Canis lupus familiaris: one gene and its partners. The protein of the gene in region 1 interacts with the protein of each later gene in a biochemical or structural test. Links are inferred from orthologs where the notes say so. Each region holds a gene or a part of one and is shown in the gene's direction. Other genes may lie near its edges. The genes, in order: CASK, F11R, PRKN, SDC2, CASKIN1, CNTNAP2 and ATP2B4.

The links.
Region 2: the proteins of CASK (region 1) and F11R form a complex in vitro, tested with the Homo sapiens proteins (2 studies listed by BioGRID and IntAct, with this or other methods). The link is inferred for Canis lupus familiaris from reciprocal best matches to the Homo sapiens genes CASK and F11R.
Region 3: the proteins of CASK (region 1) and PRKN form a complex in vitro, tested with the Homo sapiens proteins (2 studies listed by BioGRID and IntAct, with this or other methods). The link is inferred for Canis lupus familiaris from reciprocal best matches to the Homo sapiens genes CASK and PRKN.
Region 4: the proteins of CASK (region 1) and SDC2 form a complex in vitro, tested with the Homo sapiens proteins (2 studies listed by BioGRID and IntAct, with this or other methods). The link is inferred for Canis lupus familiaris from reciprocal best matches to the Homo sapiens genes CASK and SDC2.
Region 5: the proteins of CASK (region 1) and CASKIN1 interact in a biophysical measurement, tested with the Homo sapiens proteins (2 studies listed by IntAct, with this or other methods). The link is inferred for Canis lupus familiaris from reciprocal best matches to the Homo sapiens genes CASK and CASKIN1.
Region 6: the proteins of CASK (region 1) and CNTNAP2 form a complex in vitro, tested with the Homo sapiens proteins (2 studies listed by BioGRID and IntAct, with this or other methods). The link is inferred for Canis lupus familiaris from reciprocal best matches to the Homo sapiens genes CASK and CNTNAP2.
Region 7: the proteins of CASK (region 1) and ATP2B4 form a complex in vitro, tested with the Homo sapiens proteins (2 studies listed by BioGRID and IntAct, with this or other methods). The link is inferred for Canis lupus familiaris from reciprocal best matches to the Homo sapiens genes CASK and ATP2B4.

What each region holds. Positions count from the first base shown.
Region 1 is NC_049260.1:36,111,905-36,115,404, reverse strand, and holds part of CASK (peripheral plasma membrane protein CASK), read left to right. Parts: intron 1-54; coding exon 55-90; intron 91-1,742; coding exon 1,743-1,939; intron 1,940-3,500. UniProt on the Homo sapiens protein: Multidomain scaffolding Mg(2+)-independent protein kinase that catalyzes the phosphotransfer from ATP to proteins such as NRXN1, and plays a role in synaptic transmembrane protein anchoring and ion channel trafficking.
Region 2 is NC_049259.1:22,278,259-22,281,758, forward strand, and holds part of F11R (junctional adhesion molecule A), read left to right. Parts: intron 1-2,443; coding exon 2,444-2,512; intron 2,513-2,670; coding exon 2,671-2,778; intron 2,779-2,957; coding exon 2,958-3,104; intron 3,105-3,386; coding exon 3,387-3,500. UniProt on the Homo sapiens protein: Seems to play a role in epithelial tight junction formation. Appears early in primordial forms of cell junctions and recruits PARD3.
Region 3 is NC_049222.1:51,748,775-51,752,709, reverse strand, and holds the start of PRKN (E3 ubiquitin-protein ligase parkin), read left to right. Parts: upstream 1-1,135; 5' UTR 1,136-1,352; coding exon 1,353-1,359; intron 1,360-3,935. Other genes in the region: PACRG (parkin coregulated gene protein), read right to left, coding at 569-724. UniProt on the Homo sapiens protein: Functions within a multiprotein E3 ubiquitin ligase complex, catalyzing the covalent attachment of ubiquitin moieties onto substrate proteins. Substrates include SYT11 and VDAC1.
Region 4 is NC_049250.1:41,599,317-41,603,547, forward strand, and holds the start of SDC2 (syndecan-2), read left to right. Parts: upstream 1-1,431; coding exon 1,432-1,468; intron 1,469-4,231. UniProt on the Homo sapiens protein: Cell surface proteoglycan which regulates dendritic arbor morphogenesis.
Region 5 is NC_049227.1:39,222,516-39,226,015, forward strand, and holds part of CASKIN1 (caskin-1), read left to right. Parts: intron 1-175; coding exon 176-284; intron 285-365; coding exon 366-474; intron 475-578; coding exon 579-673; intron 674-868; coding exon 869-986; intron 987-1,975; coding exon 1,976-2,077; intron 2,078-2,179; coding exon 2,180-2,268; intron 2,269-2,344; coding exon 2,345-2,429; intron 2,430-2,515; coding exon 2,516-2,607; intron 2,608-3,353; coding exon 3,354-3,464; intron 3,465-3,500.
Region 6 is NC_049237.1:3,928,193-3,932,237, reverse strand, and holds the start of CNTNAP2 (contactin-associated protein-like 2), read left to right. Parts: upstream 1-1,245; 5' UTR 1,246-1,258; coding exon 1,259-1,355; intron 1,356-4,045. UniProt on the Homo sapiens protein: Required for gap junction formation. Required, with CNTNAP1, for radial and longitudinal organization of myelinated axons.
Region 7 is NC_049259.1:987,639-991,138, forward strand, and holds part of ATP2B4 (plasma membrane calcium-transporting ATPase 4), read left to right. Parts: intron 1-2,236; coding exon 2,237-2,468; intron 2,469-3,333; coding exon 3,334-3,500. UniProt on the Homo sapiens protein: Calcium/calmodulin-regulated and magnesium-dependent enzyme that catalyzes the hydrolysis of ATP coupled with the transport of calcium out of the cell. By regulating sperm cell calcium homeostasis, may play a role in sperm motility.

The sequences.
Region 1 (3,500 bases):
GTACTCTTGAAAAGTAAATGAAAATTTTTCTCCTGGGTTGGCTTTATTCTACAGGACTTGCCATCAACTACCCAACCAAAAGGACGACAGGTGAATAGATACCCTCTATAGAAACTTCTCTAAACTGAGCTGCTAATAGCCAATCCTTTATTAACCCTTTCCATCCCATAATGTCTGCATTTTGGACCATAACATTTAAGCATTGAGAGCTTGTACCATTTCATTTTAACACATTACACGTGACTAATTTTCTATAAGGATTTTTTTCTTTACATCTTTGTAGCTGTGATGGTTATTGTAATTTCAACCTGATAAACTTGTGTTGATGGTTAAGAATTCAGCCTTTAAGGGGGTCTTACAGGCCTGCCTCTGAAGTTGGGGAAAAAAATTGTTAAAGGTAACAAAATTCCTAGAATTCTAAGAATAACTAAAATCTACGTGCTGATGAACATGTTTAAGCAGTAATTTTCTAAAATCTCAAGGCTTTTTCCTAATTTGTTTTTGCATGTGTAAATCTAAAAGCCATTTACAATGAAAACTCGGAACATCCTGGCTTTCCATCCCAATATGCCTCTTTTGGGTCACATGGGGAAAGTGAAGTGCTGCCTGCCACAAGCAAGCAGCTTCCAGTTTGCCAGCACTTTAAGAGTATGGATTTCAGGTGCAAAGGCAGAGACATGTTAATTTTATAGGCTGGATTTCTGATAAGAAAACTTGAACAGAATAATCACACAATAGTTCCAAAGCCTTCAGGTTGGTTTTACAGTGACTGAAACATTAATATTCAAATATAATTTCAAGAGATAGAATTTTATGGGAATTTTCTTGGAATTTGGTGTCCAGAAATAATCCAATTTGGCCTTAAGGTGTGCACAAATTGGCATCTGAGAGAATTCACCCTGTAGTTTATTTTTAAGACCGCATAAGTGATGCAGCATTAGATATCTAGCATTTCTTAAAATGCTGCCATATGATAACCCCTTGTAGACTAATCTGTTTCCTTTTATAATATCTACTAATTACATTGACATATCCTGAAACTCAGAGCTTTGAATTCTGCATATCTTGAAGCTCTGTGCTGCTTTCAAGTGGCAAAGCTTGGATTCAATGTCCTTTTTCTTTAAGAAGAGTAAAATACAAATACAAAACCTAAATCCTTCTTACATACCTAATAACATGATTTTTTAAATGCTTTAAAAACTGTTTAAATTACATTTAAGTTTATCGACAGTGTGTAGACATGCTGCCAGTTGTCATGTAGGCATTTTAACTAAAGCAAGATGCCAACACAGAGTGCTTGCTACTTTTGTACCACATGCTGCTTCAGGGTTAAAACTTTCCCTGAATGTTTGTGTATATGGTGACAAAGCTGCCACATGATCATGACAACTTGCCCATAACATCAGCTAAATATATGCAGATTTAAAAATGGTAAGCGTGCGTCTCTATGATTAGAGACCTATTCTGTTACAGTAAAAGCAGAAGCTAAGTCTTGATCTTTATTAAACAAGAATTGTTAAGTGTTCCCTCCAAATAAAAACAGCAAAGGTATGAATCTATACACATCAAAGGTATCCCATCATTTCTAGTGGTAGCAATTCTGTGTCCTATCTCCATGCGTCATTTGGCTTCACCATCTAATGTCCTGTTTGTATTGTAAGTGTTGGTGTGTGGTTATTAGGTTAGAGCTGTTTGCTTTCACATCGCCGAGGCAGCCCTTCTTACAAACTCCTGTTTTATAGATCTATGTAAGAGCACAATTTGAATATGATCCGGCCAAGGATGACCTCATCCCCTGCAAAGAAGCTGGCATTCGATTCAGAGTTGGCGACATTATCCAGATTATTAGTAAGGATGATCACAACTGGTGGCAGGGTAAACTGGAAAACTCCAAAAATGGAACCGCAGGTCTCATTCCTTCTCCTGAGCTCCAGGAATGGTATGTTGTTATTCCTTCCATTTTGCTTGACAATAAAAACAAAGCCCTGACCATCCTTTTTGACAACCTTCTATTCTGTTGTGTAAAACCTATTTGCCTCCACTAGCTAAAGTTCAGATTAGTCATCCAAGAACTCTAAATCCTCAACATCTAGTAAATTCCTGCTTAGAGTCAAGTCTTGGTTTTACATAGAAGGGGAGAGGAAAGTCAAGAGAGAGAGAGGTTGAGCGGCTAGCCTCAAGTCATGGTCCCAGTCACCTCATGCTGCCTTAGAGCCCCCCACTCCCACATGCTGCTTCAATCCTTTTAGAACCATGTTTTGTTTTGTTTTGTTGTTTTGTTGTTTACAGATTTTATTTATTTATTTGAGATAAAGCAGTGGGAGTAGCAGAGGGAGAGGGAGAAGCAGACTCCCCACTGAGCAGGTGAGCAGGGAGCCCAATGCAGGGCTCAATCCCAGCATCCTGGGATCAGGACCTGAACTGAAGGCAGATGCTTAACTGACAGAGCCACCCAGATGCCCCTGTTTGGTTTGGTTTTAAAACAAACCCTCTCCTTACCCGTTAGCATGGTCTCCCCATTCTCATTCTACCCCCCACCCCCACCCCAGCAGGCAAAAGCTCAAAGGCCATGATTCAGGGTCACTCAGGATATTTGAAGGTAAAAATGGGTTTTGCCTTTGGGAAAAAAAAAAGAGCAGCCAGAAGCTTCATTCTTTACCTTGCCAAGCCTTTAAAAACACTTACTTTGTTGGAAAGTTTAAGCAGTGAAAACAGGTTAAAGTCAGATAGCTTTTCAACACCATTTTGAACTGTGAGAAAAGGAGTCCCAAATTACTATATATTACTATCTATTTTGGTGAAATCCAAATGCTGTTGTTACAATTCACTTACTTGAACTCTGTTTTGAAAGATGCTGGTGATTTTGCTGTGGCTGGTACTTTGGCAATGTGTGAGAGATCTAGCAAGGAGATGACTCTATCTGAGGTTGTTTCACACAACCCAAAACAGCAACCATTAGACATTGGGGCAGTCTATCCCCAAATACTGGAACCTAGCTAACAGACGCCAGAGGCTCCGAGTCCACCAATGTTGATAATGGTTGATAATGGTTTTTCTCACTAAAGGGATTTCTCAGTGAATTTCCTTTGCGTGATTGCCTCTGTTAGCTATCCTTTGTTTCCAAAAACGTTCTTACGTTTAGATTGTCAGAGCTGATAAGAACTTCAGATGCCATCATTTAATGCGGAGACTCATAGACCCGGATAGAGGAAGTGGCAGGCAGCCTTCCATCTGGCACTGCTTTGCAGTCCAAACTTTAAGAAAATTGTTTTTTTTTAAAAGAAAGAAAGAAAGAAAGAAAGAAAGAAAGAAAGAAAGAAAGAAAGAAAGAAAGAAAGAAAGAAAGAAGAAAGAAAGAAAGTTTTTCTTTTTCTTTTTTTTCTTTTTTATTTCTTCTTTTTTTTTTTTTGAAAGGAGAAATGTCTTTATTTTCCTGTGAGGGACTGTAGTTCTTGACGGACCAGGGGCCCCATAATCACAGCTGGCCCTGAGTCACAGAT
Region 2 (3,500 bases), on another chromosome or scaffold:
ATCTGTTACTACGTTTGGTTATAAACTTGGCGTTAAAATATAATGCCAAATATATAGATACACCGTAATACTATTAGGAATGATTCACAGATAAATGGACCTGACCTTTAAAAGAATGACATTTATTACATAGTCTGCCCCCATTAAGTCATGGCTTTTCTGAGAAACAGTGTGACTTATTAAAAAGCCCTGGGTGGCTCAGTCAGTTAAGGGTCAGACTCTTTTGGTTTCTTGGTTTCAGCTCAGGTCATGATCTCAGGGTTGTGGGATTGAGCCCTGCATCAGGCTTCCAGCTGCTTGTCGGATTCTGCTTGTTCTTCTTCTTCTGCTGCTTCCCTCTGCCTCTCTCTTTCTCATACATAAATTTAGAAAATTAATACGTAAAATCTTAAAAAAAAAAAATAGGGATACCTGGGTGGCTCAGTGGCTGACCATCTGCCTTTGGTCCAGGGCGTGATCCTGGAGTCCTGGGATCGAGTCCCATATCAGGCTCCCTGCATGGAGCCTGCTTCTGCCTGTGTCTGCCTCTCTCTCTGTGTCTATCATGAATAAATAAATAAAATCTTTAAAAAATAATAATAATAAATAAAAATAATAAAATAAAATAAAGATAAAAAAGGAAAAAAGAGAGTGTGAGGGAACCTGTGTGCTAATCTGAGCTCTGCCATTTTGTAGCTATGAAAACACGGGCCAGCCCTGTAACTTTTTAGACATTTAATTTTCTCATATGTAAAGTGGGAGAAAGAATACGTATCTACATTAATTTACCACGTTGTGTCAAGTTGATACAAATAACTTTTTTTTTTTTTTTTAAAGATTCATTTATTGGAGAGAAAGAGCACAGATGGGGAGGGGAGGGGTGAGAGAGAGAGAGAGAGAGAATCTGAAGCAGAGTCCCCACTGAGCGAGGAGCCTGGCTCGGGGTTCCATCTGTCAACCCACAAGGTCACAACCTGTCAGGTGCTTAACTGACCGAGCCATCCGGGCGCCCCTGTATCTTTAAACATTGAGGCCAAAACAAAAACAACAAAAACCGTAAAGGACTTTACAGAACATCTAGTTCAAACCTTGCGTGTTTCAAGTGAGAAAAGGGAGGCCTACAGGCCCCTGGGTGGCTCAGCGTCTGCCTTGGGCTCAGGGAGTCACCCCGGGGTCCAGGGATCGAGTCCCACATCAGGTTCCCTGCAGGGAGCCTGCTTCTCCCTGTGTCTCTCATGAATAAATAAATAAAATCTTAAAAAAAAAAAAAATAGAAAGAAAAGAAAAGGGAGGCCTAGCGGTCACATGACCGAGCCCAGCTCCGCGAGTTCTTACCTAAAGACGTGCTTGCGCTTAGCAGACGTGCAGGCGTTTGCCCAAGGAAGACGGGCCTCCTGGAAGCAGCGAGAAAGCTCGCTTGGTGGACTTGAGCTGGGAAAACATGAACGGGGGTGATGATGGTGCGAGTGCAGGTGGGGGCAGAGCCTGGCTCCCCGGGTCCCGGTCATCCTGGAGCGTGGGCCCCTCCTGCCAGCTCCCTTGCAGCTCCCCGGCGCCTCTGCACCCCAGCACCCACCGCCTCCCCGGCTCCTTCTCCGCAGGGGGAGGGGGGACGTCCTCGGGAGGGGACCCAGCCCCATTGGGTCCTGACCCCATCTCGGACGGCTCTGATCTTAGGCATGAGCCTTTACTCCTCATGCACTTGGTTCCTCGTGTAAAACTGGGATAATGACACTCGTCCTGCTGATCTGTCGCGCTTGTTTCAGGGATCAAACGACATAATGGACGTGAAAACACTTTAGAAAGCACAAAACGCCCTACAAATGTCAAGTGTTATTATTATCCTCGTTACTGCTCTTCCCCTGCCTCCCCTCCTGCCTCGTGGCCTCCAGCCTCCCTCTCTGGCCTCCAGCCTTGCTGGCTTCCTGCCAGGAGTGCCTGACAAGTGGTTGCAATTAATTACTTGTTGAGAAGCTTTCTCTGAACCATGAAATGTCATTTGGGGAGCTGTTCTTGGACTCGGATTAGATTATTGGGAGTTGAAGAGGGAAACACTGAAAAGATGAAAGAACTACATTGGAAAGAAATGTTTTGTTGTCATTGATAATGGAAGTATTGGCCTGCAATGGTGACAAAAAGCATTTAAAGAAACTTTTTTTAAAAGATTTTATGTATTTATTCATGAGAGACAGAGAGAGGCAGAGACTCAGGCAGAGGGAGAAGCAGGCTCCTCGCAGGGAGCCCGATGCGGGACTCGATCCCAGGACCCCAGGGTCACGTCCTGAGCCAAAGGCGGGTGCTCAACCGCTGAGCCGCCTGGGCGTCCCCAGAAACTCTTCAGGACATCGGCGAGGGGGTGTGAGACCAGAGGAGCTCGGGTGTCCCGGGTCCCTTCACCGGGGAGAAGCCTTGGGCGCGGCCCAGCTCACGGGCAGCCCCCTTCTGATGGGCTCCTCCTCCTCAGGCTCCCTGGCGTTGGGCAGGGGTGCTGTGTACACTTCGGAACCTGAAGTCAGAGTCGCTGAGAACAAACGTGAGTCCGGGCGGCTGTGGAAGGGGGAGGCCGGGGCGGGCGGGAGCAGGTGCAGGCCCCCGGGGACTGCATCCAGCGCAGACTGAAGTTGGGGACCAATTTCCCCTTTCCCGTTTGCTGCTGCTCCTTCCTCCCGTTGACATTTGTGTCCTCTGCAGCCGCCAAGTTGTCCTGCTCCTACTCTGGCTTCTCCTCTCCCCGCGTGGAGTGGAAGTTTGCCCAGGGGGACATCACCAGCCTCGTTTGCTATAACAACAAGATCACGGGTGAGTTCCCCCCACTTCCTTCCTGACGGCCTCGGTGGTGGAGGGTTGATGGGCCTGGATTCCTGGGGAGAGGTGCCCCCTGGGGCCCAGGTCCCGGCGCCTCTCCTGCCACCACCGCCAGCTTCTCTGCGCTCTCCAGCTCATCCAGCTCATCCAGCCCCTCCTTCCTTTCCTGCCAGCTTCCTATGAGGACCGAGTTACCTTCTCGCACAGTGGCATCACTTTCCACTCCGTGACCCGTAAGGACACGGGGATGTATACTTGTATGGTCTCTGATGAAGGTGGCAACACCTATGGGGAGGTCACCGTCAAGCTCATTGTGCTTGGTATGTGCCACCCTTTTTCTGTATGGTCTTGGAGTTCGTGGCGTCCCTAACCCCTTCCTGGCTCTGCAAAGCTTTGGAGCTCGTCGATGGCGAGAATGCCCCCGGGTGGGGGGAATTCAGAGTCACGGTGCCAGGAGGGAGGGGATGAATGAGCCCCTGGGGTGGGGGAAGCTGAGGGCATGGTAAGGAACGGAGGCCAGAGCTGATGGATGGGGGTGTCGGCAGTGTAGCCTCTAGGCAGCGCTCCTGACCTTGTGCTCGGCCCCTCCTGTCCCTTCACAGTACCTCCATCCAAGCCCACGGTCAACATCCCCTCCTCTGCCACCATCGGGAATCGGGCAGTGCTGACCTGCTCGGAGAAAGATGGCTCTCCCCCTTCTGAGTTCTACTGGTTCA
Region 3 (3,935 bases), on another chromosome or scaffold:
ATAGACCTTCCTGTTACATTGCCTATCCGAACTCTAACAAGCTGATATTATTTTGTAAGAAAGAGGCTTGTTAGGGTCAACGCAGGGATGCTCTAAAATTCCTTCGTTTGAACTGATGAGAGTTCCTAACTGTAGACGATTTAACGAGTTTATGGTTCCAGGTGTACATCAGCACATGTCAAATTCTGCAAGAGCTTATGATCTCTAAGAACTCGCCTTCTAGAATGACCTTTGCTGAGTGGGGCTCGATTAGGAATCGATACGTAAAGAGGCTCTTTAAAAAAAAAAATCGTGTCAATAGTTTTAAGAGTACCTTGGCGTGGTCTAGAAACCATGAGTTAGGAGGAAGGTGCTTGTCAGTGGGTAAGAGTGCCTCACGTGCCCAGGATCCTTCCTGACACCCCAGCCAGGACCTCCTCACCCTGCTGGGCGCCGTCTGCAGAGGCGCCCCCCTCGGTGCCGCAGACCCCCCAGGACACGGATTCAGGATCCATCCCAGGCCGGCCAGCAGCTATCGCCTGCTGTCCCCTGATCGGAGCGAGTGCATATTCAATGCAGGGTCACTTACGACTGAGTTTTTCATCATGGCTTTGACTGTGAAGCCCTCAGAAACCAGGGAGTGAGGCTGGTGCACCGGGAGCGGCTGTTGCGCCAGCAGCTTGGTCCTCTTCGGCATCTTGTCTGGGCATTTGTTTAAGCTCAGGGTCTCTTTTTCTGCCACCATCTTCCTAGAAAATGTCTCGTTCTCATAAAACGTGTAGTAAAAGAATCAGTGGGTTTTACGCATGTGAGAAGGAGTTCGGGGGGGAAAAAATGTAAAAAGGCGCGTTACTGGTAGAAATTCAACCCCTCGTAGTGCCCAGGTTGATCCAGATGTTTGGCAGCTCCTAGGTGAGGGGAGTTGACGGAGGGGAGGGGCGGGAGGAGGGAAGGACCGTGGCGAGAGCCCTAAGAAGCTTCCAAAGGTAAGCCTCCCGGTTGCTAAGCGACGCGTCAACACTGCGGCCCCGTGGCCCAGTCCCCCCGTGACGTAGCACGCTTGCTGGGCCTGAATGCGGAGAGGCGGCGGAAGGCGGCGGGCGGAAGGCGGGCGGCGGCGGGCGGAAGGCCCACGGCAGGCCGACGGCGGGCGGGGAGGGGGCGGCGCGATGGGAGAAACTACGCTGTCAAACTACGACTCCCAGAAGGCCCCTGGCTGCGCGTCGTCCGCGCGTGCGCATTCCGACAGCCGGCCCCAGGGAGGCAGGTGCTGGAAGATTTAACCCCGGAGCCACATTTGTGGGAGGCGCGGGCGGGCGCCGGTGCGGGCGTAGCCCCCTGCGTGCCCAGCAGCCTCCACCTGCCTAGTGACCATGATAGGTACGTGAGTACCTGCCAGGTACAGCCTCTCTGCGCCTCCTCGCCGGGCCTCGGCGGACAGGGACGCCCCCGCCCCCAGGGTGTCGGCCGGTGTCAACTGTCAGTGTCGGGACGGCCGTGTCCGCCGGCCCTCGGCCCGCGCTGCGCGCTTCCCGGTGCCCGCCGTGGGCCGGGGGAATACGTGTGTGTGAGCTCAGCCCCCGCCCAGCCCGTGCTCGGACAGCTTCCCCGGGGACCCCGGCGTGCGCGCCTGCGCCTCCCGAGGTGGAGGCTGCGGCGCGCGTTCCCACGGCGAGCGCCGCGCCGCGCCCCGCCCCGCCCCGCCCCGCCCCGCCGGACTCGGGGGTCGGTTCGCAGGCCCCTCACGTGCACCTCCGGCCCCGCCCCTCGGGGGCTGCCTCCCGGCTAGGGACGGATGGGACCCGCCGCCTGTAGGACTCTTTCCGGGGAAACCCTATACCGAAGCTTTCAGCTCTAGCGGAAGGCACCTGCCGGGATGGTTAGGATTCAGAGACATTCCTGCAGAGGAACTTAAACCTCTCGCTCCCTCGATTTTTCCTTGTAAATCTCTCCTTGTAGGTCTGAGATGAAAGAATCTAGAGTAAAGAATAACAAGGATTAAATATTGGCATAATGAATTATTAGTTGACACAAAATGACCTGGGTGCATATTTATGATGAAAGCTTTGGAAATGGTTTGTGGTAATTGTTTATAAACACTGTGACAAAAGTTTCCTCCCCCTCCCCGTCCTCCCCGTCCTCCCCGTCCTCCTCGCCGTCCTCCTCCTCTTCCTCCTCCTCCTCCTCTTCCCTCTCCCCCTCCTCCTCCCCCCTCCTCCTCCCCCCCCTCCTCCTCCTCTTCGCGGTAATCTTTGAAATGAGTGGAAATACACAGTATGATTAGAAACCAGTGTTATTTGGGGCGTTTATTATGACAGAGACTTACTTTAGATTGTGTATGGAAGATTTGGTGACCCTATTTGGAGATTATTCCTGATGAGTACCACTTAAAAAACAATTTTGATTGCATCGAGTGCATCTGAAGTCAGAAATGGTCAGTCCAGAAAGATGAGAAGTGGATTTTTAAAATACGTAAGTTTGTATGCACTGATAGAGTCTTAAGTCTTTTATTTAGGAAAATTAATGTTAAAGCGTAAAACATTCTACCCAGAGGGAGAATCATGCCAGTGATTAACTGATGCTGTCTTTGCAGCAATGATAAAACCTAGGGATGTTGTCCAATTTTTCTCACCTTTCTAGCACGGTATGACTTTTGGTGAATGACTTTTGAAAGTCATCCAATGAAGACATTTTTCTTATAAATGAATGTTTTATATAAACTTTATGAATCTTTTGAACCCAACTTTTACATATAATCCACTATAAACGGCTCTGAGTGGAATCAGAAAAACTAATAGAAGAAATTTTTAAAAATCCATGATGTCAGCATTTTACAGAAAAAATTATGTTTTATTTGAAGACAATTATAAAATTTTATTTTAATTCAACTTAATTTAGTGCATGCATGCTCTTAAAAGAAGCAAGTTTATAGCAAAGCTATATAAAGATAGGGACTTAAGATCTAAAAATCACAATTCTAAATTGTTATCTGATAAATGACTATATAAGAACTTTAAAAAAAAAGAACTTTGGTAGGATGAACTATGTTTAGGGAATTTAGTTTATTTGGGACTTAGGGACATAAGACAGAAGAGTATGATCTTTGGATTTGATGATTAGACAGTTATTAGTAACTTGTAATTACATGGAGAATATAAGGTAGATTTTAAAAGGTGTTTTTTCTTATACTCCAGTTGTTGTTTTACATAGTGCAAATAAATGTGTATTACAACATAAGTACAACATGCCCCATCCCAAGAAAGGTACTTTACATATAAAAACCATGTGGACAATGTGCAGTACATTATTTTATACAAGTAATTGCAATGCCTAATTCTATTGGTGGGCACTTTTTGATAAAAATCTTAATTGCCAATTTTGGACTTGTATTGGTGAAGAGAGTGTGTGGAAAGGTAGGTGAAAGTGGAGGCAATTAAAAAGGAAAGGTAGGTGAAAGTGGAGGCAATTAAAAAGTGATGGGTTTCCTGTTTGTGAATAAACCTCAGAGCCAGGAAAGGCATTATTGTTTATACCTAGTAATAGGCTGGAGATAAAAATATACCTCAGTATATATCTGGGTTTGTTTTTTTTTTTCCTGTTAAAGACATTGTGCTACTCAGAACTTGCCTGTTTTATGCTTGTGCTCTCTTTAATTGCTACACCCTCTTTAATGCAAATAGTACTCTTCCATTTTACAAAAATCTTGGCTTACTTTTGAGGAAAAACAACAATAGGAGTAAAGGGGATTGATTGTTACCCCACTACGAGTAGAATTAACCTTCCTTTTTTGTTCTTAAAACCTAGGATTCCTTCTTGGTACAGAGACTGCCTCAAAAGTACTTATATTTCTCACTTGAATTATGACTGATACGTTAAATGCCTGGCCCAGACAGTCATAGAAACATAGTTTAATTAATTATGACTTTGAGAAGTATGGAGTAGGACATCAGGGTATC
Region 4 (4,231 bases), on another chromosome or scaffold:
GGACACCCCGAGCTCATGCTGCATGGACAGGCCGGCCACTCCAGGCAGAGGACGCACCTCAAGGCCAAGGTGCTCCCTGAGACAACAGGTGCAGACGTCGAGCCTGCCTGGGTGACATGCGGGCATCACTGCGCGTGGACTCCACCCGTTGACTCACTCACCTCCAGTCACAGTGAGGACATGGAGGCTTGGACTTGGCGGCCCGCTCAGGGGCAAGGCCTCTCAGAACACGGCGACGGGCGGGACTGGCACCCAAAGCCCAGCCGGTGTGTGACCCAGCCGCGTGGCCACCTGCAGAGCACGGACACCGCCTCCCCCCACAGCAGGTGCGAGGGTGCGTCCGTCTCCTCGCCCCTTGGGGAACTCAACAGCCCTCCCACGCACGACCACCTCACCCGTTTCTCATTGCACTACCTGAAAGAGTCTAGAAACGTGTTCACACCTGGACATGTGTGCACTTTGCCTTCTAGATGCTTTAGGATAATGTTCAATGAAATAATTCCCTGCATTAACCTGTAGGTGATGCCAGTATTAATGCTATTTTATGCAGAGAAATATCAGTATGTTCTATTCTTCTTTGAGAGGTTTTAAGATACCCAGCTCTACTGAGCATGGAAAGGTAATTCAAGAATCAAAACATTATTTTTTAATAGATCTTTTCCCTCACAAATCTAAATAATTTTTAAAAGTAATTTTTAGAGTGGTTGGTCTTGATTTAAGAGCGTCCTTTACCTACGTATGCCTTATAAAGCCCTGGAGGGTGAGGATGTCACTGTACTCAGAGTGAAGACAGTCACAGTCAAAGCTGCCTCGTCTTCATCTCTGTCTTTGTCTGGGATCGTTTGTTGACCAGGAACAGAAGCCCTCTTATACCACCTAAGGAAAAATAAAAATTTTACCCTAAGGACACTAAACTATCTCAAGATCCTAAAGGAATAAGTTTGATTTGGGTCTCACAAGAGCCAGAAAAAAGAATAGAAAGAAAAAAGAAAAGTCAGGACCCTCCACTATGCGGGCAACACGTGTCCCCTATGTCTACCTGTGTGTTTACCTGCTTGTCCTTGCCCTTGTACATCCATCGTCGAGGACACACGAGGACCCTCGGCAGTCTGGGGTGACTGGGAGTCATCCAAACGCGCAGCTGGGTTCGACCCCGAGCTCCTCGGCTGAGACGATCGGAAGGGTGCATCTAAGTGGTGGGCACTAATAAATCGCCTCGCCCCCCGCACGACCTGGTCCGCGTAACTGCCGGAGCAGGTGAGGGACTGTGGCACCAAGGGCAGGGCGTCGGGGTGGCAGTCACAGCGGTAGCACCGTCGTCCCTAACGTCGGCCCGGACTGTGTCTCCCCGTCCCACGGGACCTGCACAAAGGCGGTGCCAGCACCTTGAAGATACCTTTGTGGACCCTTCCTATGCTCATGTACCCGAGGATGGCTCGTAGGTCGATGTTTGATGCCCCCAAACGAGGTAGCCTGCAAACAACGGTTTCCTTAAAATCTCCATTTCTGACTTTAGGATGACATTTGACACGGAACCTTAATCACCGACGTGCGACTTGAGGACGAGCGGCTCTTCATCTAACAATTAGCCAACTTCCCCGACAAAGGAGCGATGGAGGTGAATGGAGAGAAAGGTCAAAAGACGGAGGCTAAAACTAGGTGTTAGCTGTTGTTGGGCTGGGCTTGCCTGTAGATTTTGGTCACGGCTCCGCGCACTGGCCCTGAGGAGCGTGGGTAATTGAGAGTTGGCTGGCTGGATTTCCTCGTATTCCCAGGTTCTATCATCTTTCAAGTGAATTTAGTCAGGGCTGATCCGACTAAATAGATTTCTAGCCTGAACCGCTGGTACCATTCCAGGGAATGCCAAGTGAAGGCCAGTCGGAAACACCGAGGCGGCATCTTTGTCCCCCTGCGGTTCCCTCTCTGACAGCTCACCTCGGGCCACAGCACCTGCTAGTCCCGGCGATCATGCGACGTCACTAAGGACCCTGGTGACAAGGTCCAGGGTGTCGGCTTAGGTTAAAAATATGTCTCTAGTACCTGTCGTCTCTGTTTTTCTCGGGTGTTCTGTGCCTTTTAATTCACCGCCCCCCCTTCTTACACGCCTGCTCTCTGATCTCTGTCTCTATATTCTGTTCCTCTTCTCTATCTTCTTCTGAGATTCCTGAGGTAGGTTGTTTATTCTTTCAGCAATCAGTGAGCGGTTGGGCAATGATTGATTTTGCCATTTTACCTGTGGTGCCCCCTAAAGCACAGCCCTCGAACGGAGGACCTGAAAGCACACTGGGGGGAACCCTTGCCTTTAATCGCTTCCTGCTTTCCGTGTGTGAGATATACATGCGCCACACAACTCCATAGAGTTTTATTCAGTCAAAAAAAGTTGCAGTTAGCAAAACACAGCAACAGGCTGCTGTAGACGGAATGTTTGTGCCTCTGGATCCCCCTCCCCAGACTCCCTCCTATACATAGGTTGAAATCCTAATCTCCAAGGTGATGGTGTCGGGTAGTGGGGCCTTTGGAAGGTGGTTAGGCCAGTAGAGTAGAGGCCTCATGGATGGCACTGGGGTTCTTATCAAAGGGGCTCCAGAGGACGCGGTCACCCCCTCCCTCACCCTGTGAGGACACAGCAAAGAGAGCCCTCCAGGAACCAAGAAGCCCGCTCTCACCAAATATGCCAGTGCCTTGATCTGGGACTTCTCAGCTTCCGGAACTGTGAGAAATGAATTTTTCTTGTTCAGAAGCCAGTCTATGATATTTTCCTTAGAGCAACCCAAAGACACAGACCTTCCTCATTTACGACTTTAGAAATGTCCCTAACAGCAGCAGACATCCTTGTCCCTTACCACCCTCCTCTACCCCCCGCCCCCAGCATAGGCAGGTCTTTAGTAACCCCGTCTTGCGTACGTGCTTTTACCATCTGCGTCTTTTATACGTCCAGATTATCCTTCTGGTCACACCTTCTGACTCTCAAATGCATTTGGACACAAGATTTGAATATTTCTTTGTTATCAAATACCTGATATTATGTGACTCTCAAAATGGCACCATCCCCTTATTATCCGTACTCTCAATGTTGCATAAACCTCAAGAGGCTCATATGCACCAAGAGCTTTGGGGGTGCATGTTCCTTGAACAGATGCACGGGCTTATTTCCTTTGATCGCTGTCTGCCCACGCTGAGGCAGGGAGCGGCCACCATGGTCCTCCTTAGGGAGATGCCCCAACAGACAGCAGTAACCTGGAGAGCCAGCAGGTGAGTGCGTTTCCCCCTTTCACTGGGGTTCTGATCTATTTGATGTTTCTAACCGTTGGGGAGAAAGGAGGTGCAGCCTTGCCCCAGGCCTGAAAAGCAGACTAGCTCTCTTGGCGGTAGAGGCAACAGTTGAGGCTCTTTGCATTTCTCTCACACTGTTCATTTTCCTTTGGAAACTCCTTTTCGAAGTCCCTCTCTCCTCCATCTCATGCAATTCTTTAAGCCACAAAGAATCCATCTTAAAAATAAGGCTGTAGTTCATCCTTCCAAAAACCAAGGTAGACCCACGCTGACCCACAGTTGCCAGCCCAGTTTCTGTGGAATTAGGAGCGTCCGATGATACAACTTCCAGTTCTCCTGACTTCCTCTCTCTCTTTCTCCTTTGCCCACTTTTCTGCTTCTCCACATTTCCTCTTGGACTATCAGCACGTTCGACTTGCCCGTGGGGAGCTTGGCGGATGGCACTCAGCATGGAAGAGCTGATGCCTCTGACTTTGAGCTGTAACTTCCCAGTTCTCTAAATTTCTTTCTTTGAGATTTATTGCAGTGAACGGCCACTGAGACACTGTGATTCTCAGAGTAGGCTCTATTTTATTCTAAGTTCAAAAATTACCATGGCCTAGTATCTATCTATCTATATCTATGTTTCTCACAGTTTCACAACTCTCATGCACTATAGACTGAGTTTTAGACCAAAACTTATCTAATAAATATTTATTGTGTGTCTTTATGTACCAGGAATGAGAATACAGTGGTAGAAAAGACAGAAAGGTCCCTGGTCTCCTGGAATGGGCATTTTAGGAGCAGAATAGTTGCACATTTGACTTATTCCGGAAGCCAGAGAGGAAAAGATTCTAACAGGCGGAAGAACGTATTTGCGGTGTTCTGTAGGATGCGTGCCATAGACACCGAATTGAAAAACAGTTTCCATCACAAAATATTTCAGATTAATTACTTCCATTCAGGAAATACATGCTTC
Region 5 (3,500 bases), on another chromosome or scaffold:
TTAGGGTGGCCTAATGGCCGTTGGGGTCAGCCCTGTGGGGTCAGCCCCGTGGGGGTCACTTCCACAGATGCTGGGCCAGGGGCTGACACCGCAGTTGGGAGGCGGGGCCTGGGAATGCCCGTCCACTGGGGAGGAGCGTGGCTGCCACCCGCTGCCACCGCCGCCTTCCTTCCAGACTCCTCCTCCAGGCTGGCATTGACATTAACCGCCAGACCAAGTCCGGCACAGCCCTGCACGAAGCCGCGCTCTGTGGGAAGACGGAAGTGGTCCGGCTCCTGCTGGACGTGAGTCAGGGGCCGTGGGAGCTGGGGCGGGGGCGCGGAGCAGGGGGTCTCCTGACAGGCCACACCGTCTGGCACCTACAGAACGGGATTAATGCCCATGTGAGGAACACCTACAGCCAGACGGCCCTGGACATCGTGCACCAGTTCACCACGTCCCAGGCCAGCAAGGAGATCAAGCAACTGCTGCGAGGTGGGCCAGGGGGCGGGGCGGGGAGGCCGGGGAAGGCGTGGGGGCTGGGGGGTCTGGGCCCGGCGGCTGGCAGGACTGGGGGGGTCTCCCTCCTGTGTCCCCAGAGGCCTCGGCGGCTCTGCAGGTCCGGGCGACCAAGGATTACTGCAACAATTACGACCTGACCAGCCTCAACGTGAAAGCTGGGGACATCATCACGGTAAGGCCAGCCTGGGGAGGGCAGGGGGATGGGGGGGCCCAGGTGCTCACCCCGCAGCCCCCCATGTGGCTACTGGGAAGCCCGGGGGTCTGGACGGGAGGCCCGGGTCACACACACACACACACACACACACACACACACCCTCCCCAACCTGGAGGGGCGTCTCCCTGAGCTCGCCCCGACGCCTCGGGCCAGGTCCTGGAGCAGCACCCCGACGGCCGCTGGAAGGGCTGTATCCACGACAACCGGACCGGCCACGACCGTGTGGGCTACTTCCCGTCCTCCCTGGGCGAGGCCATTGTGAAGCGAGCAGGCAAGTCCCCCCCCACCCCACGGGCCTCGGCTTGGGCGCCAGAAGGAAGCACGTGGCCATGTGTGGTGGGTGGCAGGGCCATTGCTGGGCGTGGGGTCCAGAGTGGGCTCCTGCCGGCCGGCTCGTCAGCCTCCCCACACCTATTCCTTCAATTATTCAATAGACGTCATGCATCAGCCGCTAGGAATCGATGGTGACCCAAGAATGATGGACCTCATTCTTGCTCTCAAGCTCACCCCTAGGGACAGTGGGGAGAATGGCAGTGAAGTAAATACAAAAATGTGCCAACTAATGCTAAAGAGAATGTGCACAGAGGCCTGCTTTTTACTTATTTTTATTAGTTTTAGGAGTAAAATGCAGTGATTCATCAGGTGTACAGAGGCCTGCCTTCTAGACAGGGTGGTCAGAAAAAGCACTGGGGCAGGGAGGCTGGCCCGGACAGAGCATCCAGTCAGCGGGAACCACATGTGCAAAGGCCCTGGGGCAGAACAGGGCATACGATGTCAAGGGCCTGAAGAAGACCCACACAGCACAGCTGGCACAGTGTGAGGAGCAGGAAAGGCGTGCGGCCGGGCCACAGGGGGGTTGGTGAGATGGGTTACCTCCTAGAGATGACGTGGACGTCGACAGGTGAGGGGAGGGGACAGAGGGAGCCCGTCAGGAGGCATGGGAAGCCCACCCAGGGTCATCTAGGCTTCTGGGGGCCTCTCCCCTGGCAGAAAGGAGGTGCACCTCCTGCCCTCCCCATGCCCCACCCAGGACCACAGTGTCGCCACGGTGTCCTGCTCTCACGTGCAGAGGGCGGGGAGGGGTCTTCTGAGGCTCTTGCCACTGCCTGGAGACAGCCGGGGCCAGAGGAGGCTGCAGCGTCAACGTGAGGGGCCCCTGCTCTGTCCAGGCTCTGGGGCCAGGCCAAGGATGCCCCCTCGCCACGTGGGGGCCCCAGGCCTGGCCAGCCCGGGGTTCAGGGCAGCCGTGCTGTCCCACAGGTTCTCGAGCAGGCGCCGAAGAAAGCCCACCCCAGGCGGGCAGCTCCTCGGGGCCCTCCGCGCCCCCCGAGGAGATCTGGGTGCTGAGGAAGCCTTTTGCAGGTAGGTTTTGACCTCTGGAGGTCAGGGCGGCAGTGCTTCTATGAGGGAGCACCCCGCGCGGGGAGAGCCAGCAGCGGCTCAGGGTGCTCCCTGTGTTGGCAGGCGGGGACCGCAGCGGCAGTCTGAGTGGTGCGGCGGGTGCAAGAAGCGGCGGGGGCCATGCCCTGCACGCAGGCTCCGAAGGGGTCAAGGTAGGTGGTCTGGGGAGCAGGGCCGGGGTGGCTGGGCGCCGAGCAGCGCCGGCCAGCGTGCCTGTCTGGGTTGTAGCTCCTGGCAACGGTGCTCTCACAGAAGTCGGTCTCCGAGTCCAGCCTCGGGGACAGCCCTGTCAAGCCTCCAGAGGGCTCCACAGGTAAGGGCAAGGCTGCCACAGCCCTGGTCTGGCGGGGAGCGCCCCCCTCCCAAGCACCCCTGCCCCAGCACACCGTCTGTCTCCAGGTGCGGCCCGGTCCCAGCCTCCAGCGGCCCACGCGGGGCAGGTGTACGGGGAGCAGCCGCCCCGGAAGCTGGAGCCGGCCTCGGAGGGCAAGGTACCGGGCCGCGCTGGCCGCGGGGAGGGGCTCCCGGGCAGCCTGCTTGGGGCGCGGGCAGCGGGGGGCCCTGACAGGCCAGGCCATACTTCTGTCCGTTTGTCAGTCTGTGCGTGTAGGTGTTGTCTCTTGTGTGGGTTGTGCGTGTGAGCTGGTGCGAACGGCAAGTGTGACGTGGGCGTGAGGTGAGCAGGGGACGTGCCTGTGTGTGGGCGGTGACTGCGAGCCGGGCACGTGCGCGCGTGTGCTGTGCGTAGGAGGCGTGCGTGTGAGGCCAGGCCGGCCACGTGTGGGGCTGAGAGGGGCCCGTTGTGGGCACGGCGCGGGCGGCTGGCTGCTTCTCCTGCGCACCTCTGGACGGAGCCCACCTGCCCCGGCTGGGGGGCGGGGGCTGCTCCGTGCGGCGCAGCAGAGGCCACGTTCCCGAGCCCCTGGTGCAGGTGTCCCCGGTGAGGGAACAGGGGGGCTGGTCAGGGGAGCCTGTGACACAGCCGACAGCAGCTGGACCCTTCCGGCGGAGACCACAGGAGGCGGTCGCAGCGCCGACGGAGCTCGCCACGCCGGCAGTGGGGACCGCAGAGCGAGGAGGCACACGGGGGCCAGGCTGTCCCAGGCCCGGCCGCGGGGGCACCAGCAGATGGCAGACCGAGCAGCTGAGCGGAGGAGGAGCCGGCATAGCGGCCCGGGTGCACGGCTGGCAGGCCAGCGGGCAGGCGAGCCTGCAGCGGGTCCCTTGTGTCTTCCAGAGCGCCGAGGCCGTGAGCCAGTGGCTTGCCACGTTCCAGCTGCAGCTCTACGCCTCCAACTTCATCAGCGCCGGCTACGACCTGCCCACCATCAGCCGCATGACCCCGGAGGTGAGCTGCCCGGAGGCTGGCGGCCCGCGGTGGCCG
Region 6 (4,045 bases), on another chromosome or scaffold:
CCGGGGGGCAGGCCGAGCTCCGGGAGCCTGTACCATCTCCCTCTGCAGGGGAGGGGAGGAGGGAAAGAGCAGGCCTCCGAGCCCAGGGGTTCGGTTTCCCCGCAGCTGGGTGGGGGTGGGGGTGAGGAGAGGGCGGCCGGGGTTGGAGCCGGGCTCCAAGATCACCCCGCAAATTCCCAACTTCAGCACCGCCCCCCGCCCGGGGCAAGGCGCGCGCCCCCTGGCTCGGCGCCCCCCCCCCCCCCGCCCCGGCGCACGGACGCGGGCCCGTGGGTGCCTTCTGGCTCCCGCTCGCGAGCGCAGGGCAGAGGGGTGGTGACAGCCGGAGGGGTACGGCGAGGAGGAGGAGGAGGGGGAGGAGGAGGAGGAGCCGGGGTGGGGACTTGGAGGGGGCGAGGAGGGAGGGCTTCCCCGCCTCGCCCGCCGCCCGGCTGTGCAGGCGCTGCTGGCGGCGGCGTCTCCAGCTCGGTCTGCAGCTCTGTCTGCAGCTCGGTGTGCAGCTCGGTGTGCAGCTCGGTCTCCAGCTCCGTCTGCAGCTCGGTGTGCAATTCGGTGTGCAGCTCGGTGTGCAGCTCGGTGTGCAGCTCGCTCTCCAGCTCCGTCTGCAGATCCGTCTGCAGCTCGGTGTGCAGCTCCGTCTCCGGCCGCTGCTGCGCTGCCCGGGCGCCGGGGCGATGCCGCCGCGCTGAGGCCGAGCGTGCGCCCTCCGTCCCTCCTCCCTGCGCCTCCCCCCTCCCGCCCGCGGGGCTGCGTGCCCCCCGCGCACCGGCTCCCGAGCGCCGAGTGCCGAGCGCGAGCCCGGGGCGCCGGGAAGCCCCTCAGACCCGCCCGCCCGCCCTGCGCCGCTGCATCATCCCCAGCTCCTCTGCTCTGCCTCCGCGTCCTATGCTGATTTTTTATTTTTTATTTTTTTCTCTCCTGCAAGAGAGAGAGGGAGGGAGGGCGGGGTAGGTCCCCTCCTCCGCTCCCCCTCCCTTCCCTTCGCGGTTTGAATTTCTTCCCCCTGGCATTTCACTGGCTCCCGGAGCGAGAGGCAGCAGCCGCGCGGAGGCAAGAGGCAGCCTGCGCCTCCCCGGGCTCCCGGCCCGGGCCGAGCTGGAGCCTGCAGGGGCGCGGGGGGAAGAGGACGCCGCGGGAGGGGCCCTGCCGTCGCCCGCCCCGCCCCGGAGCAGCGCCCGGAGCAGCCCCCGGGGGCACGGCCGGCGCCTCCGCAGCGAGCCCAGCGAGCTCCCCGAGTGCCGCGCGCCGGCCGCCGAGGATGCCGGCGGGCCCGCGAGCCGGCTGCGGGGCGGCGCTGCCGCTCTGGATCGTCGGCAGCATCCTCTGCAGAGCCTGGACCGCCCCGGCCGCGTCCCGTAAGTAGCCTCCGCGAGCGCCCAGCCCGCCCGGGGCCGCGTCGGGGTCCTCCCGGGCCCGCCACCTGCGTGCGCCGGCGTCTCGCAGCCGCTGCCGCAGGGAGCTCCGAAGCCCGGGGCGCCCCGGGGCGCTGGGGGGCTTGCAGGGCGGGGATGGATGGATGGGGGGGGGGGGCGGTGGCGCGAGGGCTCTGGAGGCTGCTGATGCTTCTGGAAAGTTGTCCCCGGCCGTGCAAGGGGGGGTTGGCAACTGCTTGGTTGGAGTGACGAGGCCGGGCGACAGCTTCTTAGGAGTTACTCCTCCACTTCGGGGTGTTTGTTGTTGGAGGGAGTTCGGGGCTTTGGGCTCGGGTAGGTCGCTGCAAGAAAGTGAAGGCTGGGGCAAAAAAAAAAAAAAAAAAAAAGTTTCTTGTTTTTGCATATGGTTTTGACTTCAAGACGCACGGGTTGCGGGGGTGGGGGTGCAAGAGGAGACCATTTGGAGCAGTTGGGGCACCGCGGACTTCCCTTACCCGCCCACCCCCAAAAAGTTAATGACCACTTAGTACTTGCTTCTTGGAAGGGGAAGACAGTGAATGCAGCGTGCTGGCTGAAATTGCTTTGATTTTTGGCACTTTGGGGGTGACACAGCCTAGGACTCGGGGCAGGCAGGGCAAACAGGCCGTGGGGAATGGATGTAGTCATGAAGGCATCCCTAAAGAGTTCTCGGGGAAAGGATGCTGTTCAATATATTCAAGTCTTTGTGTTCCAGCAGGCTCCCCCCCCCCCCTTTTCTTTTTAAAGAAAAGGTTGCTCATGTTTTCATGCGGTTAGCAAGAGTAGAAAGGAATAGAAGATTCCAGCCCATCTTCTGAGTTGCTTCAGAAGTGCATCCTGTGCATCTAGAGAGGAGACGCATGATCGCTCCTTTGATTCAGAAAGAGTTAAACCCTAGAGAGCTTGCCCGTGGGAATCTCAGGCACATAGTGCTGGTCTGTGAGAATGAGCTACTTATTAAAGAATAACGATGGAGATTTTAGTTTGAAGTGTTTTCCATTTAGAAAAAAAAAAAAGTTTAGTGTTTTCCAGAATTCATTGTATGTGTGGTCCTATCTCCGCTGATGAGGTCTTGGGATGCATTGATGCATCTTTATCTATACATTAATATTAATGTTCTTGTTCCGGGGTATACATATTAATAAGAATAACCGTTGAAAAAGGACTTGATAAGTTGTGCTAAAGAATCTACCCCACAATAATGTCATGTGATGAACCGCTATTGCAGTTTTGACATGTTTTCCCAAGTATTGTATTTGCTTCTCTTTTCTTGCAGTATAGGAAGTCACTAAGTGGCAGTGTGTAATGGACTTGAAAAACATTTTTGTAGCTTTTTCACAAACGGACTGAACCTCAAATAAGTGATACATTATTAACATATGTATTCCGGTTTTATATATTTAAACAAATTTTGAAGACAGTGCTCAGTATTAATATTATGTAAATATGTGACTACATCCGGAGAAAAGTAATCTGATGAAATTTCGATTTCCATTTCAAGATCTGGTCATATAGAACTAACTGCCGCTTTTTTTCAGAAATTAAATCGATTATAAATTAATTATATTCACTGATTAATGGCTCTCATATCCAGGATTTTTCCTGAGTTTTATATTGCATCTTTATGTATACATTAATGTGATGGATCCCTCTGAAACATTTGCCATGTATCAAGAATGAATGGCACACATGCAGCCACGGGGTTAATGTTTTTTAAGAATAGAAAAGTTGTTGCCGAGATATATTCCTAGCTTTTACAACTTAGTTAGAATTAGATGTTGGGGAAGAGCAGAGAGTATTACTTTTAAGGTAGTTGACACTTATGTCTGATTAAGATGTATTTATTAGCTCTTGCTCTTATTCTTTATTGTTTAAATATGTAAAATGGCTTAATTGAGATGACTTTTTGTTTCCTTTGAATTTAAATTGTCTGACTAAAACCCAAAGTTGCCCCGCATCCTGGAAATCAATTAAATGATAAGAATGATGTGGACTTTGTTGACTAGAGTGAGCTTCACAAATTCAGTACTTTAAATTATAATTTGACACTTAATGACAATTTGTATTTATATTTATACAACTCTGAGAAAGAGGGAGAGTTATATTCTTAATACTGAAAACGCTCAAAGGAGAAAAAAATCGGTAACTACATGAATCTAAGATAATGAACAACTCAACCAGGAGAGGTCATCACAAGACAAAAAGTAGCATGAAAATCCAAACGTAATGTTTTTATTTGCTACTCATTTTTAAAAATATGACAGTGCTAAAACTTTCTGTCCCTTGATAACTTTTTAACATGATGGACGTTTCTAGAAAATGCAGTTAATATTTTTCATTTGGCAACAGTACCATTTTAAATATATATTTGCTTCTGGCTTATTTCTTTTTCTCTATTATTGAAATACATATAAAAATGGTGTTACTGCTAATACTATGTTTTCTATAGCTGGACTAAAATAAATTTAAAAAGCTCATTTCTAGGATTAAGGAGAAATAGAATCTAATTGCTTGACAGTGCAGATGAGCTGCTGCTGAGCTGATGGAATCATACCACCTCTCTTCTTGCAAATGTGCAGATACAGGACGCATATGTAAAGAGTATATTTTTCTCTTAGGGAGTTGCACTTATTTGAACATACTGGAAAGACGCT
Region 7 (3,500 bases), on another chromosome or scaffold:
CTGAAGTCCTGAACGGTGAGGGTCAGAGTCATCCATGAGGGTTGGAATCAACTTCTTCCAAACTGCTATTAGTGTTGCTATTTTGGCCCCTTCCCATAAATCATGAACGTTCTTTATGGCATTTAGGCTGGTGAGTCCTTTCCAGAAGGTTTCCAATTGACTTTGCCCAGATCCATCGGAGGAATCTCTATCTCTGGCAGCTATAGCCTTACCAAAATGTATTTCTTAAATAAGAAGTCTTAACGCCCTGATTCATATGCTGCAGAATGAGTGCTGTGTTAGCAGGCATGAAAACAATGTGAATCTCATTGGACAGCTCCATCAAAGCTCTTGGGTGATCAGGTGCATTGTCAGCGAGCAGTCATATTTTGAAAGGAATCTTTTTTCTGAGCAGTAGCTCTCAGTGGTGGGCTTAAAATATTCAGTAAATCATATTATAAACAGATGTGCTGTCATCCAGACTTTCTTGTTCCATTTATAGAGCACAGACAGAGTAGATTCAACATGATTCTAAAGGGCCCTGGGATTTTCAGAATGATAAATGAGCATTGGCTTCCATTTAAAGTCACCAGCTACATGAGCCCCTAACAAGCAAGTCAGCCTTTCCTGTGGAACTCTGAAGCCGGGCACTGACTTCTCTCCAGCTGTCAAAGTCCTGGATGCCATCTTCTTCCAGTATGAGGCTGTTTGATCTACACTGAAAATCTGTTATTTAGTGTAGCCACGTTCATTAATGATCCCAGCCAGACCTTCTGAATCACTTGCTATAGCTTCTACATCAGCACCTGCTGCTCCACCTTACACTCTGATGTCATAGAGACAGCTTCTTTCCTTAAACCTCACGACACAGTCTCTGCTGTTTCAAACTTTTTCTGCAGAGTCTTCATCTCCCCCAGCCTTCCTAGGATTGTGGAGAGTTAGGGACCTGCTCTGGATTAGGCTTTGGCTGAAGGGAATGTTGTGGCTGGTTTCATCTTCTATCCAGAGCACTCGAACTTGCTCCATTCAGCAATAAGGCTGTTTGGTTTTATGGGAGAAATGCTTTTCATTTCCTTCAAGAACGTTTCCTTTGCATTCAGAGCTTGGCTATTGGGAGCAAAGAGGCCTAGCTTTCAGCCTCTCTTGGCTTTTGACTCACCTTCATCACCAAGCTTAATCATTACTAGCTTTTGGTTTAAAGTGAGACATGTGAGACTCTTCCTTTCACTTGAGCACTTAGAGGCTATTGCAGGGGCATTAATGGCATAACTCCAGTAGTGTTGTCTCTCAGGGGAGGGGAGGCCTGGGGAGAGGAGGAGAGAACGGGAAAGAGCCAGGCAGTGGAGCAGTCAGAACACATATGACATTATCAATTAAGTTTGCCATCTTATATGCATGTGACTCGCAATGTCCCCAGACAATTACAATAGTAGCATCACAGATCACCGTAACAAATACAATAATAATGAAAAAGTTTAAAATATTGCAAAACTTACCAAAAGGTGGCACAGAGACATGAAGTGAGCAAATGCTTTTAGAAAATTGGTGTCATTAGCGTTCGATTCAGGGTCGCCACAAACCTTCAATTTGTTAATAAATAAATAAATAAACAAACAATGCCTGCAAAGTGCAATAAAGCAAAGTGTCATTAAACAAGGTTTGCCTGTATGTAAAATACCAGGCACATAGCAAGTACTAACAAATGTTAGTTCTATGTTCCTTTTTCCTTCTCATGCTCAACTCCACTTATAGGAAGTTGAGTAACTTCATCAAGTAGCTAGACTGTTCATGGGTCATTATAGGCTGACCGACATAGGTACAGGGCCAGTAGCTATAGAATTAACCAGGCCTTTATTTGGCTTTAGCCACCGTCTTTCAACCAACCCATTCCTGTGGAGCACACCCTATGCACTGAGCACCATTCTAGTACTATTCACGTACCTGGAATTTAAAATGTCTCTCCACCTTTGAGAAGTTCAAAAGAGGGGGTAATCCACAAATGACTCTTGGCATCACATTCACATATGAGTAGGAACAGACAACATGGGAGAATCATACCTTTGGCTTCCCTAGACCTGATCCATCTACAAATCACCCCACCTTGGGAAAAGGGACTCGGCTGGATGATGAACAGAGATTTCTTACCCAAGAATGCTGTCTTTACGAGTAATGCAGGATTGCCAGAATGTCTGCAAATGAGTGTAGAGACATCTGGGGTGGGAAAGGGTTGCTGCTTCCTGACTGTGTGCCTCCCCAGGTGTAATCGAATCCTGGACAAGAGAGGGGAAGTGGTTCCATTCAAGAATAAGGACCGCGATGAGATGGTCCGCACTGTCATCGAGCCCATGGCCTCTCAGGGACTCCGAACTCTCTGCATCGCTTACCGGGATTTCAATGATGGCGAGCCCCCATGGGACAATGAGAGTGAAATCCTCACTGAACTGACGTGTATCGCAGTGGTGGGCATTGAGGACCCTGTGCGCCCAGAGGTGAGGCTTTGGCTTGGCAAAAGGGTAGGAGAACATGAATGGAAGTCTTCCAACAGCCTCTGGCCCACATGCCAGCCGAGCATGATGTAGGGGGTAGTCCCCCCATAGAAGGGAACGGAGGTACTAGTTCCATGTTTAGCTGTGACCCCAGGCACGTTACCCAACAGCTTCTCATGTACAGGGATAGATGTTTCTGTGCCTTCTGCTTCCCAAACCACTGTGGAGTGCTGAGCTGATAGAAGCTGGCATTCTGACAGTGAATGCTGTCTGAGGGGTGAGAAACATAGGTTGTATTGAGCTTATTATTGGGTACCTAAGAACAGTCAGAGTTAACTGGGACACCAACTTTGCCTCTAGCCACCTTCTTTCAATCAACATATTCTTATTGACTGCCCCTAGAATAGCTGAACAGTAATCTAGAAACTAAGGCGTTGAAAAGGTCTCTGCTTATAATAAGTTCAGACTAGTGGACTTTTAGTTGTCAAGGCCCAAGGGCATAGGAGACTATAAAGAATGGATTGGTTGGAGTATGGGCCAGGGAAGTGGAGAATGCTAAAAAGGGAGATGGTGGCCAGATCCCAATGAGGTATGGATGTGCCCTGCTAAGAAGTCTAGATTGTAGGGAGAGTACACTTCCACACCTGGCTCCTCAAGCAGATTTTCTCTTCAACTCATGCTACAGTAAGGCAAGTTCAAATGTAGTATTATGAATAGGGCAGAAGTCGGGTGGCACCAAACAATATAAAAATGACCAGACCTAGCCTCTGCCACATGGCACTGCTCCTAAGTGCCTCTCTCCTGTCCACAATGAAGGGACCCTTCACCACCCCCACCTCCTCCTTTCCTCTCACCTTACTCTCCATAGGTACCTGAAGCTATTGCCAAATGCAAACGAGCTGGCATTACTGTCAGAATGGTGACAGGTGACAACATCAATACAGCCCGGGCCATTGCCACCAAATGTGGCATTGTGACACCTGGGGATGACTTCCTGTGCTTAGAAGGCAAAGAATTCAACCGACTTATCCGCAA